Rattus norvegicus: one gene and its partners. The protein of the gene in region 1 binds, or shares a complex with, the protein of each later gene. Links are inferred from orthologs where the notes say so. Each region holds a gene or a part of one and is shown in the gene's direction. Other genes may lie near its edges.

The links.
Region 2: the proteins of S100a4 (region 1) and Myh9 are in contact, whole or in part, in an NMR structure (PDB 2LNK), measured with the Homo sapiens proteins. The link is inferred for Rattus norvegicus from reciprocal best matches to the Homo sapiens genes S100A4 and MYH9. Residues at the interface, in NP_002952.1 of Homo sapiens: Leu38, Ser44, Phe45, Leu46, Gly47, Lys48, Arg49, Thr50, Asp51, Ala54, Phe55, Lys57, Leu58, Asn61, Leu62, Ser64, Gln73, Glu74, Cys76, Val77, Phe78, Ser80, Cys81, Ile82, Met84, Met85, Cys86, Glu88, Phe89, Phe90; in NP_002464.1 of Homo sapiens: Thr1906, Ala1909, Met1910, Glu1913, Val1914, Ser1915, Leu1917, Lys1918, Lys1920, Leu1921, Arg1922, Asp1925, Leu1926, Pro1927, Phe1928, Val1929, Val1930, Pro1931, Arg1932, Met1934, Ala1935.
Region 3: the proteins of S100a4 (region 1) and Anxa2 are in contact, whole or in part, in a crystal structure (PDB 5LPU), measured with the Homo sapiens proteins. The link is inferred for Rattus norvegicus from reciprocal best matches to the Homo sapiens genes S100A4 and ANXA2. Residues at the interface, in NP_002952.1 of Homo sapiens: Lys35, Leu38, Pro43, Ser44, Phe45, Leu46, Gly47, Lys48, Arg49, Thr50, Asp51, Ala54, Phe55, Lys57, Leu58, Asn61, Leu62, Gln73, Phe78, Cys81, Ile82, Met84, Met85, Glu88, Phe89, Phe93; in NP_001002857.1 of Homo sapiens: Leu13, Glu14, Pro21, Ser22, Ala23, Tyr24, Ser26, Val27, Lys28, Tyr30, Thr31, Asn32, Phe33, Glu36, Arg37, Leu40, Thr44, Gln69, Asp70, Phe73, Arg77, Arg78.

What each region holds. Positions count from the first base shown.
Region 1 is NC_086020.1:178,387,154-178,391,328, forward strand, and holds S100a4 (protein S100-A4), read left to right. Parts: upstream 1-1,375; 5' UTR 1,376-1,412; intron 1,413-2,208; exon of another isoform or gene 2,209-2,330; intron 2,331-2,578; 5' UTR 2,579-2,593; coding exon 2,594-2,734; intron 2,735-3,391; coding exon 3,392-3,556; 3' UTR 3,557-3,684; downstream 3,685-4,175. UniProt on the Homo sapiens protein: Calcium-binding protein that plays a role in various cellular processes including motility, angiogenesis, cell differentiation, apoptosis, and autophagy.
Region 2 is NC_086025.1:111,228,464-111,231,963, reverse strand, and holds part of Myh9 (myosin-9), read left to right. Parts: intron 1-936; coding exon 937-1,149; intron 1,150-1,254; coding exon 1,255-1,467; intron 1,468-1,720; coding exon 1,721-1,882; intron 1,883-2,790; coding exon 2,791-2,919; intron 2,920-3,500. UniProt on the Homo sapiens protein: Cellular myosin that appears to play a role in cytokinesis, cell shape, and specialized functions such as secretion and capping. Required for cortical actin clearance prior to oocyte exocytosis. Promotes cell motility in conjunction with S100A4.
Region 3 is NC_086026.1:79,017,252-79,020,192, forward strand, and holds part of Anxa2 (annexin A2), read left to right. Parts: coding exon 1-12; intron 13-1,177; coding exon 1,178-1,271; intron 1,272-2,215; coding exon 2,216-2,311; intron 2,312-2,747; coding exon 2,748-2,806; intron 2,807-2,941. UniProt on the Homo sapiens protein: Calcium-regulated membrane-binding protein whose affinity for calcium is greatly enhanced by anionic phospholipids. It binds two calcium ions with high affinity. May be involved in heat-stress response.

The sequences.
Region 1 (4,175 bases):
TTGCTGCTTCTCTTCTTGGAAGGGAAGAACATCTCTGCTCTTACCTGGAAGCTCAGGCATGTGCACACAGTTGGGACTGCTGTGGCAGGGGCCTCCTCAACTCCCAATAAAGAAATGTCATCTTGGCTTACTTTGGTTTTTCTGGTGGGACACACTGGGTCTTGGGACTGAGTCCTTGTTCCTTTATGCTCCTTACCACTGGAGAAAGAAGGCTTACCACTGAAGATGGACCCCCAAAGCATCAGACCCAGTAGAGATGTGCAAATCTTACTGTTCAATAGGAGGGTGGGGGCAACACAAGGTCTCATTGGATGAGACTGGAGGGTCTCTGTCTCCACCTCTCTGTCCCCTGTCTTGAACTAGAAGTCCTTATCTTGGGCTTTCTAGGAGAACAAGGGGCTCCTTGGGAGGTACTCAATACAAGGAGGATGCGGTTGTGGGACCCAGCATCAGACCCAGTAGAGATGCTCAAATCTTAGTGTCCAATAGGAGGGTGGGGGCAACATAAGGTCTCATTGGATGAGACTGGAGGGTCTCTGTCTCCATCTCTCTGTCCCCTGTCTTGAACCAGAAGTCCTTATCTTGGGCTTTCTAGGAGAACAAGGGGCTCCTTGGGAGGTACTCAATACAAGGAGGATGCGGTTGTGGGAGCCCAGAGTCAAACCCCCTCTAACCTTCACTTAACCCCTGAGTTTGTACCATATCCTTAGAGATTAATCCTGACTCCCTATTCACCTCTTTCTTCTCTAACTCTCTTCTCCAAGCTGAGCATTCAATCCCGAATGCTTCTGTCATCCCCAATACCCTTACTCAAGCTTCCATCCATGCATAAACCTCTAGGCCACACTACCACCTAACTCCATTATGATATTTCCCACTTAATACCTGGGGTGGTCCCAAGGTCCCTCCTGATTTGCTAGCCTCCACCCTGGATCTTCCTGATGTGACAAGAAGCTGTGTAGGCTGGAGAGAAGGGCTGACATTGTCCCACTGGCTGGGTCACCTCCTTAATTCCTCAGCCAGATAATTCCAGGGCAGTTTCCCATCTCTTGTCTATAACACCAGCATCTCCTTTTCTGTGCCCCACACCTCATGTACAGGTTGTCCCTTCTCAAAGCTTCCTAAGATTCTAGCTGAACTGCGGCTACTTGGTGGTATCCACCCCATCCAAGTCTCTGCCCTGCCCACTGGAGCGCACTCACTACTTGATTGTGCCTGCTAGGGAGCAGGAAGCCTAGCTCTTGGCTGGGCTGGTGGCTGGGCTGTGACACTTACCCGCATCGACCAACAGCAAGAGCAGTATCCATGTTCCCCCATCCCCTGCATGGGCAGGGCATGGCAGGGTATAAATAGGTCAGATTGTTGGGCTCTCCCCAAACCTCTCTGTTCAGCACTTCCTCTCTCTTGGTCTGGTGAGTCGTGTTGGCCTGATAGCACTGTTAGCAGTTTAGAGGCTGAGGCTAGGACAGGAGAAAGGGGGCGTACTGGGGGGAGGGCAGAAGTCTTTAACGGATCCAGATGAGAGATTCTGGTACGGAGGTGTGTGTGTGTGTGTGTGTGTGTGTGTGTGTGTGTGTGTGTGTGTGTGTTGCACAAGAATGAAAACTGAAAAACAAGCAGTATATAAATGGCTCCCGGAGATTCTGAGATGCTGAGGCTTGCTTGTATGTTGCTATAGTGTATGTTGGTGCTTGGGAGCCACTGTCATGGATAGGTATGTTGCTGGGTCATCCAAGCCAGTGTGTGGACACTCAGGTACAGGAAGCAAAGTGAAGGCATCAGCAGGCATTTTTGTTTTACGATGTTTAAATTACACTTATTTTATTTGTGTGTACGAGTGTATGGGTGGGGATGGGGCAAATGCCAAGGGGCACTTCTTGTGAGAGTCAATCTGTTCCTTCTAGCATGTGGGCTCTGGAGATCAAACTCAGGTCATTGAGCTTGGTGGCAAGCACCTCTACCTACTGAGCCACCTGTTCAACACCCACCTGTAGGCATTTGTGTTCATAGTAGTTCATAGCCCTATGAACATATAGCACCTAGGCCAAGAGAGCCTGGCTTCCCCACCCCCTCCCCTTGTACCCCAACCTCTGCCACTTCATCTCACTCCTACTAGGCAGCTGGGTTTTTTCCCTCACTGTAGGCCCCTGGGCAGGCAGCCAGCAGCCGCGCCCAACGCTGGGAGGGAGAAGAATGGGTCAGAGGCTGGAGCTTGTGGTTGAGTTGGGGAGTGAGTAAGCTGAGTGAGGGATGGAAAACTGCTGTTGTTGAGGCCAGGCCTGGGGGGGAGGCACAGAAGGCTGCTGGCATGAATTTCTAGAGTTTGAGTGGTAAGTTTTGCAAGTTTCAGAGCTTGAAGCACATATGAGCTTCTTGCCATCAGTGGGTACCACTCCTCTGATCTCCCTGGGAGTGAGGTCGGTCTCTGGAAGTGCTCTTAGAGAGTAGGTTGGAGTAGAGCACTAAAAACGGGGACAGACTGAGTGTGACTTGAGTGATGCCTAGCAACATATATCCAGCTCTCAACACACTGTTGGTGTGGGTTGGAGAAGGCTACTTTTGTGTCTCCTGCCCCTAGGTCTCAACGGTCACCATGGCGAGACCCTTGGAGGAGGCCCTGGATGTAATAGTGTCCACCTTCCACAAATACTCAGGCAACGAGGGTGACAAGTTCAAGCTGAACAAGACAGAGCTCAAGGAGCTACTGACCAGGGAGCTGCCTAGCTTCCTGGGGGTGAGTGGATCCTGTCTGTGTATTGCATATGTGATGCATCCCCAGGAGGAGGCTGGGGCTGGAGATATCTATCTATCTATCTATCTATCTATCTATCTATCTATCTATCTATCTATATCTATATCATCTATCTATATCTATCTATCTATCTACATATATATATATATATATATATATATATATATATATATATATATATATCTCTCCCTACTCCTGGCGCTTGGTATGGAACCACAATGAACCATCTACTTCACACCAGCCCCCCGTTGAGACAAGGCTTAGAATGAAGTTAACTGAAGTGGCACAGGAAAACCACATTAGGTAGTCAGTGTCTGAAAGCACAGCCTAGATCAGGACAGTCTTTCCGGTGATGTGCAACAGAAATCGAGTTTCTGCTTGTGAAGACATGATTGTGGAGGCACACAAATGCCTGCAGATCTTCCCCTCAATGACACCTTATCTTAGTTAACACCTCCTTGTCATGACAGTTACCTATAGACATAGTTAAAACAAGCGTGGGGAAGATGTGGTCACATCCTTTCCCAGCTAGCCCATGTGCTCATCTCACAGTTGAGCCCTGAGGCTAGCACGGTGTCTGCAAGCCTTCCTGAGCTCCTGGCTGGAGGTGGCGTCTAACTGTACCTCTTCTACCTCCAGAGAAGGACAGACGAAGCTGCATTCCAGAAGCTGATGAACAACTTGGACAGCAACAGGGACAATGAAGTTGACTTCCAGGAGTACTGTGTCTTCCTGTCCTGCATTGCCATGATGTGCAATGAATTCTTTGAGGGCTGCCCAGATAAGGAGCCCCGGAAGAAGTGAAGACTCCTCAGATGAAGTGTTGGGCCAGTGGGGGAATCTTCCATGTTGGCTGTGAGCATAGTGCCTTACTCTGGCTTCTTCATACATGTGCACAGTGCTGAGCAAGTTTAATAAAGAGTTTTGAAACTATGTCTGAGAGACTGGAGATTGTGGGTGGGTGGGTGGGGCTGAGGGAGGGTGGTGGCAGAGATGGCTGGAAGTTGACCTGGAGCTTTGTGGGGGCCAAACTAGAAAAGGTTGGGGAGGGGTGAGTGACTTATTCTGAGTTCATTACAAGTGTATATTTGTGTGTATGCGTGCATGTGTGTGTGTGTTTGTGTGTGTTCACGTGCTCCTGTACATGCAACAAAGCAAACTCTGGGAACACTAAAGGCAGAAACCACCAGAGGCTTGCCTTGAAAGGCTCCAGATGTGGGATGTTATCCAGCCCACGGTTCTCCCTCCTCTCTCTAGTACTGCCTCTGGGCTCAAACTGAAGTTGGGATGGAATTAAAGGTCACATCTGCTGCTGGTTGGGGTCTGGAGGGAAGACAACAGGCCTGCCTGAGTCATGAGGCAGGAGTCTTGAAGCCAGAGAAGGGTGGGGAGGTGGACTGGCATTCAGCCCTAACATTTATAG
Region 2 (3,500 bases), on another chromosome or scaffold:
GCCAGCCCTCCTTCCCCCATGGAGATGCAGACACTGGGGTCAGATGGAATAATAGTAAAAAAACAACTGGGTCAACACGTGGTAGACAAATCCAGTCCCTCCGCTGTGACTTAAAACTTCTGTTTGTCTTACACTTAGTCATTTAGTGTGTGTGCATGTATGCATGTGCTGAGGTCAGAGGGCAACTTGCACAAGTCCATCTTCTGTCATTTACCTGTGGAGCCATCTCCTGTCCCCATGTTTTTCCAGATAAAGTTTCATTGTATGTAGCTACACTTGTTTACATGCTGCCACTGGCTCCTAGTGTGATAAGTGGCAGAGCTGAATGGCTGCTTTGAGAGACTACAGCCTTCAACCTCTAAGTAATGTTCTTTATGAGAGGCCCAATCTGTGGAGCAGGTGAAGGTGGGCAGAGAACCTAGGAAGGCAGGGAGGTGAGGAATAGTGAGGGTGGGCCCCATAGAACAGGTACAGTGGTGCAGCCATCTTTGGAGAAGGACCACACGTGGGATTTAAGCTTTTGAGCACGGCTTTTCAGGAATGTGGGCATCCTCACTGGGTAACATAAATGAAGGACTGAGCAGAGAGATTGCAGAGATGTTCAGCTGCTAAGAGATGAGTTTCATTCCTATCACCCAGCAGTTCACAGCCACCTGTAACTGTGGCTCTATGAGGTCCAACATACTCTCCTGGCTTCTAGTGACACCAGCACATGCACATGTATGTGTACATGCACGTTTGTGTGTGCATGTGTGTGCACACACAGATGAAAGTCGTTAAAAATTTAAACAAAGATCAAAGTACAGTGTTACAGGAGTCCTTGCCGTCCCGGGAGCCAGCGAGCCCCTGGGTAGCAGCCTTGGGCCTGTTGGTCTGGGTCTGGCCGTAGGGTAGTGGTCTTCAGTCTCAGCCTCACAGCAAGACTTCTTTCCCTAGCTCCTAGCTGAGGAGAAGACCATCTCAGCCAAGTATGCTGAGGAGCGAGACCGAGCTGAGGCTGAGGCCCGTGAGAAGGAGACAAAGGCACTGTCACTGGCCCGGGCACTTGAGGAGGCCATGGAGCAGAAGGCAGAGCTAGAACGGCTCAACAAGCAGTTCCGCACGGAGATGGAGGACCTCATGAGCTCCAAGGATGACGTGGGCAAGAGCGTGAGTGCTGGGCTGGCGTCCTGGGTTCGGGGGAGCCTGGTGTGTGTGGTTGGAGCTCAGGGCCCCTAGCTGTTCGTGTCTGTAACTAACATGGGGCTCTGCTAGGTCCATGAGCTGGAGAAGTCCAAGAGGGCATTGGAGCAGCAGGTCGAGGAGATGAAGACCCAGCTGGAGGAGCTGGAGGATGAGCTTCAGGCCACTGAGGATGCCAAGCTCCGTCTGGAGGTGAACCTGCAGGCCATGAAGGCCCAGTTTGAGCGGGATCTGCAGGGCCGGGATGAACAGAGCGAGGAGAAGAAGAAGCAGCTGGTCAGACAGGTGCGTATGGCCTCCTCGCTATGGGGAGGGACACCAGGGACTGCATCTCTGTCCCCCTGTGCAACACCTGGGCCTCGGAGGGGCTCCTGGACCATTTTCCACTGCCTTGTTTCTCAGACTCTGTCTTAGGGCTCTGCAATTTTACTTTGTACTTTGTCTCGGGTGGCCCCATGGACAGCCCAGAACTGGTCTGAGCTCACCTGAACTCAGTGCTCAGCAGTGAGCGCTAAGCATGAGCCCTGCTGTTCCTCAGGTGCGGGAGATGGAGGCGGAGCTGGAGGATGAGAGGAAGCAGCGGTCCATTGCCATGGCTGCTCGCAAGAAACTAGAGATGGATCTGAAGGACCTGGAGGCTCACATAGACACAGCCAACAAGAACCGGGAGGAGGCCATCAAACAGCTACGGAAGCTTCAGGTGAGGCAGACCCAGGCTGGTCACAGATGGGGACAGGTAGAGGCTGGGAGTCGGGGCCTGTCTCACAGGTGAGGCTCGGGCTCAGAAGGGACACAGTAACAAGAGGGGGCTGAGTCCATTAAGTCAAGAGGAAAGGTAGCTGGACGTGCAGTAGAGTCAAGGATGGCGGCCACACACACTCAGGCTTCAGGAAGAGACCGGAGTGTTCAGTGATGGATGGTCTAAGCTGGTGGCTCTGAGAAGTGGCTCAGAGCTTGAGACATACACTTGGGAGCAGTTTTCACTCACCAGTGTGGTCAAAGACTAACATTAGTACAAACAGCTCTTGTGTGCCCATTCATGCCGAGTGTAGCAGCAGGAAGAAAGATTAACCATCACGTGGGCAAGGCTGTGAGCAAGAAGGTCAGCTTGCTGATGGCGTTTTTAAGAGTCACACATAACAGGAGTCACACTCTGCCCTCAGGGTGTATGCCATCGTGAGGCCTGTCTGCTTCAGATCAGGGGACAGGGGACCGAGCTCTCCGCTTCGTTGTTGCCTTACCTGGCAGGAAGCATACTTCGTGTCTTGTCCCTGCTTTTCCCTGGTCACTGACTGGACGTCATGGACGACACATTGGATGATGCCGCTGGCATTAGCTGCAAGCCAACAGGAAGTTAGAGCAGGCAGACGGGCCCAGGTTACACTGTGTGCAGGGGTCTGTGCCCTGAAGAGCCACCTTCTAAGTCTAGTCAGGAAGACAGACGTGCAGAGCCACTTGCCTTTGGTTACTTTTTTGCCTGTTTATAAAAAGGTTGGCTAAAACCATGCCAGGCGTAGAGCAGGTCACTGTTGGGGACATGGCCCCTTAAGGGGTCAAGACCCCGAGCAGGCGGAAGTAGTTGGCGATGCTGACGCCTCCTTCACACAGGCCCAGATGAAGGACTGCATGCGGGAGCTGGACGACACGCGAGCCTCCCGGGAGGAGATCCTGGCCCAGGCCAAGGAGAATGAGAAGAAGCTCAAGAGCATGGAGGCCGAGATGATTCAGCTGCAGGAGGTGGGCCAGCGGGGGATGCAGGGCCACTGCCTCTGGCCAGCAAGCGGCAGCCTGGGGCCTTTCCCTGTCCTTAGGAGTCAGCAGGGAGGGAAGGGCAGAAAGAAACTGAGCTGCACACCTTGGCATGGTGCATGGTGTGGTATGTTCATGTATGTGCACATCTGTAATGGGGAAGAGGGTGAGACGCAGCCTTCCATGTGGCTACAGACCCCGCCTCTCTTAAATGAATCTGTGACCCTCGAGTCCCCAGTTAATTTCACGAGCCAATGCTGAGTTGATTATGATTCTCTATCAACTGCGAAGGGCAAGGAGGGGCCTGAGTGCCCCCTGGGTGCTGTTTTAGTTACACAGGAACCGCGTGGTGGGGAGGGTGGGGTGGTGTTTCCAGGTCTGGAGGAAAGGGCCATCCTCAGTTCATGAGTGCTCAGTCAGACCCTCTGCCCTGGCATGGCTCTTTGCCCCTGCTGGGTCTGGGGTGACCCCTCCATTATCCCACCATGCATGGTGCTCTGGAGGCTTCCACAGCCCATCTGCTGCCCTTGGTGGGCACAGGACCCTGGACTCTAGCCTCCCTCATAAAC
Region 3 (2,941 bases), on another chromosome or scaffold:
CAGGATGCCCGGGTAAGTTCCAAGCTTCTTGGCTGAGTTTTACGTGGCGTGTGTATCTGGAGGGGGTTGTATCCCACACAACCATTTACTTATATACAACGAATGACCTCAAGCTAACATTTGTTATCTCTCGGATTCTCCAGGTCAGGGATGGAGACTGGATTGACCAGATAATTCTGGCTCAAGGCCTCTCATGTGGTTGTAGATAAGATGTTGGCTAGGGCTATAATTACTGAGCGCATGACCAGGTCAAAGGGAATCTTCCCTACATGGCTCATGTGTGACTTACTTTTGGCAAGAGATGTTAGCATACCTCCACACAGGCCTCCACAGACTGCTTGAATGTCCCCAACAACATTGCCCCTGGCTTCCCTAGAGTGAGTGACCCAAGAGGGATCCAGAAACCCTCATGCTCTCATGACTCAGTCGCAAGTGTCATACACTCTTGTCATACTCTGACCATTAGAAGTGAGTCCATGAGTCCAGCCCACAGCTGTGGGAGGGGTAAAACTAAGTAATGTCCTTTCCAAGGGAGAAATGGGCCTTTTAAAGCCTCAGCCCATCTGAACATAGAGCTTTGTCTCCAGGAACCATGTTTGTAATGCTGGGGTTAATTATCAGATCTGTACCCAGGTCCCATTGGCTCATTCAGGCTTTGATTGCATAGAAGTGCTAGGTCCTGACCTTAAACTCTTAGGGAAGCTGGAGCAGATGGGGTAGGCACACCAGGAGAGGAAGGCTCCCTGCTCCACTCAGTGAGGACAGAGGAAGATGACAGGGGCCTGTGACCTCCTCATAAAGCTATTTTAGATAACTGCGAACGAGGCGTGCCTCACTCAAAGGGGTCGGCGGCTCTGTTATCTCAAAGCAAGTCATAAGAGCGGCAGACAAAATCATGTGCCTCTGTTTTAAAATCTTATATAGTCTGGGGAGTGCATCGAGTGTAAGAGAAAGGCTTTTTAATAAATGCTAGAAGTGGGCTTTGTGGCCTAGGGAGATAGCTTAGTGTGGCCCCGGGAAGCCAAAAGTTTGAGCACACCTGCTCTATGTGGTACACGATGGGTCCCAGCTGCAGCACAGGCCTGTGCGCTCACATGTTTCTGGGAACGGGCTTTTGAGTAACGCCTGCTAGGGGGTTGTGTGGTTAACTTCTCCTGGTTGGTTGCATCTCTCACAGGAGCTCTATGATGCTGGGGTGAAGAGGAAAGGAACCGATGTCCCCAAGTGGATCAGCATCATGACTGAGCGCAGTGTGTGCCACCTCCAGAAAGGTGGGTGCTGTGCCAGCGGGGTCTCAGTGCCTGGAGGCTCTCAGGTGGCAAAGGCTGCAGTGAGGTGCAGAGCTCCCAGAGCAAGGCTCGTTCTCCACTCACTCTTTCAGTTTCCTTTATCAAACCATTTGGCCTCCTTTCTCACTGTGGACCCTCCGTCCCCAAATGTGTTCAATATTTGATATGTTAGCTTGTTTCACTGTGTGTGTGTGTGTGTGTGTGCGCGCGCGTGTGCGCGCGCGTGCGTGTGCGCGCATGTTCATATGAGTGCACATGTGTTTGGAGTGCATGTGGGAGCCAAGGTTAACCTTCGGTGTCGTACCTTTGAAACCATTGACCCCGGGTGGTTGTTTTGGTTTTTAGACTCATTGGCCTTGAGTTCAAACACTAGGCTAGGCAGCCTGGACAGACAGCTGCCACCCATCTGCCTCAGCCTTCTCAGCACTGGGATTACAAGCACACACCATCATGCTTGGCTTGTTTGTTTTTGTTTGTTTTGAAACATGGGTTTTGGGTTTGGGGGGCTAAACACGGACCTCAGGCCGTTTCCATGGCCCTTCCTAATTCCCCTCCTTACCTGAGGATCCTTTGCTCTCGCCATGATTATTGAAGTTCAGGACATGACCCCTGGCTCTATCCTGTTTCCCATGACATCCACGTAGATGGAGTCCAGTCAGGGCACAGAGGGATGGTTAAACTCTGTGGCCTAGGCAGAGCCATTAAGGATAGGAGCTAGACCTGGGTCATCTGGCAAGACAGGTACAAATCATCTCTAGTCCACCAAGGTGACCTCCAGCCCCTAAATGACTGCCAGCCCCTGGGATGCGTGGGGATCACCTTTAGGTGTTGGGTTCTTGTTTTCGTTGCTGCTGCTGCTGTCTGGTTGTATAGGCTGTCCGTGCGGCTCCGACCGGCACTTCTGACATCATTTGTCCTTCTCTTAGTGTTCGAAAGGTACAAGAGCTACAGTCCTTATGACATGCTGGAGAGCATCAGGAAAGAGGTCAAAGGAGACCTGGAGAACGCCTTCCTGAACCTGGGTGAGCAAGGGTGGCCTTTCCTTGCCGGCAGAGAGGGCAGAGACAGGAGTGAATGGCTATGTGTTTCCTTCAATGGGGACTTGGGAGGTGTGGTGACTTTCTGCAAGTCTCGGAGAGCTTTAGGATTGTCTGCAGATTTAAAGACATGAAACAGGCTTAAGTTGCCAGGAAGGACTAAGTTGCTGGAGAAGAGAGGGCTATAATGGGGACACTCATATATACACTGGGGCATCACTGACCTCTGCATCTCATGATTGAAGAGACCACAGTGGGTAGAACCTACTGGTTCACGAGATTCTGAGTTTTCCTTGGTCTTCTACATCCTGGATCCATGGGGCAGGCCCATTCTGGTCAGTGTCTTAGGGCCAGGGCATCATCTTCCTTCATGCATGGCAGGAAAGCAGCCTCACCCCTGACCTGTGTCTCCTTTCCACAGTTCAGTGCATTCAGAACAAGCCCCTGTACTTTGCTGACCGGCTGTATGACTCCATGAAGGTAAGGGCTGCTGGTCCAGATGTTCCATTTCCACTAGGCTCCTCCTCTGTCTTGGCTCAAACTGAATCTTCTTGACTAGTGTTTAGAACAGTGGCTCTCAACCTTCCTGACGCTGTGGCCCTTTAATACAGTTCC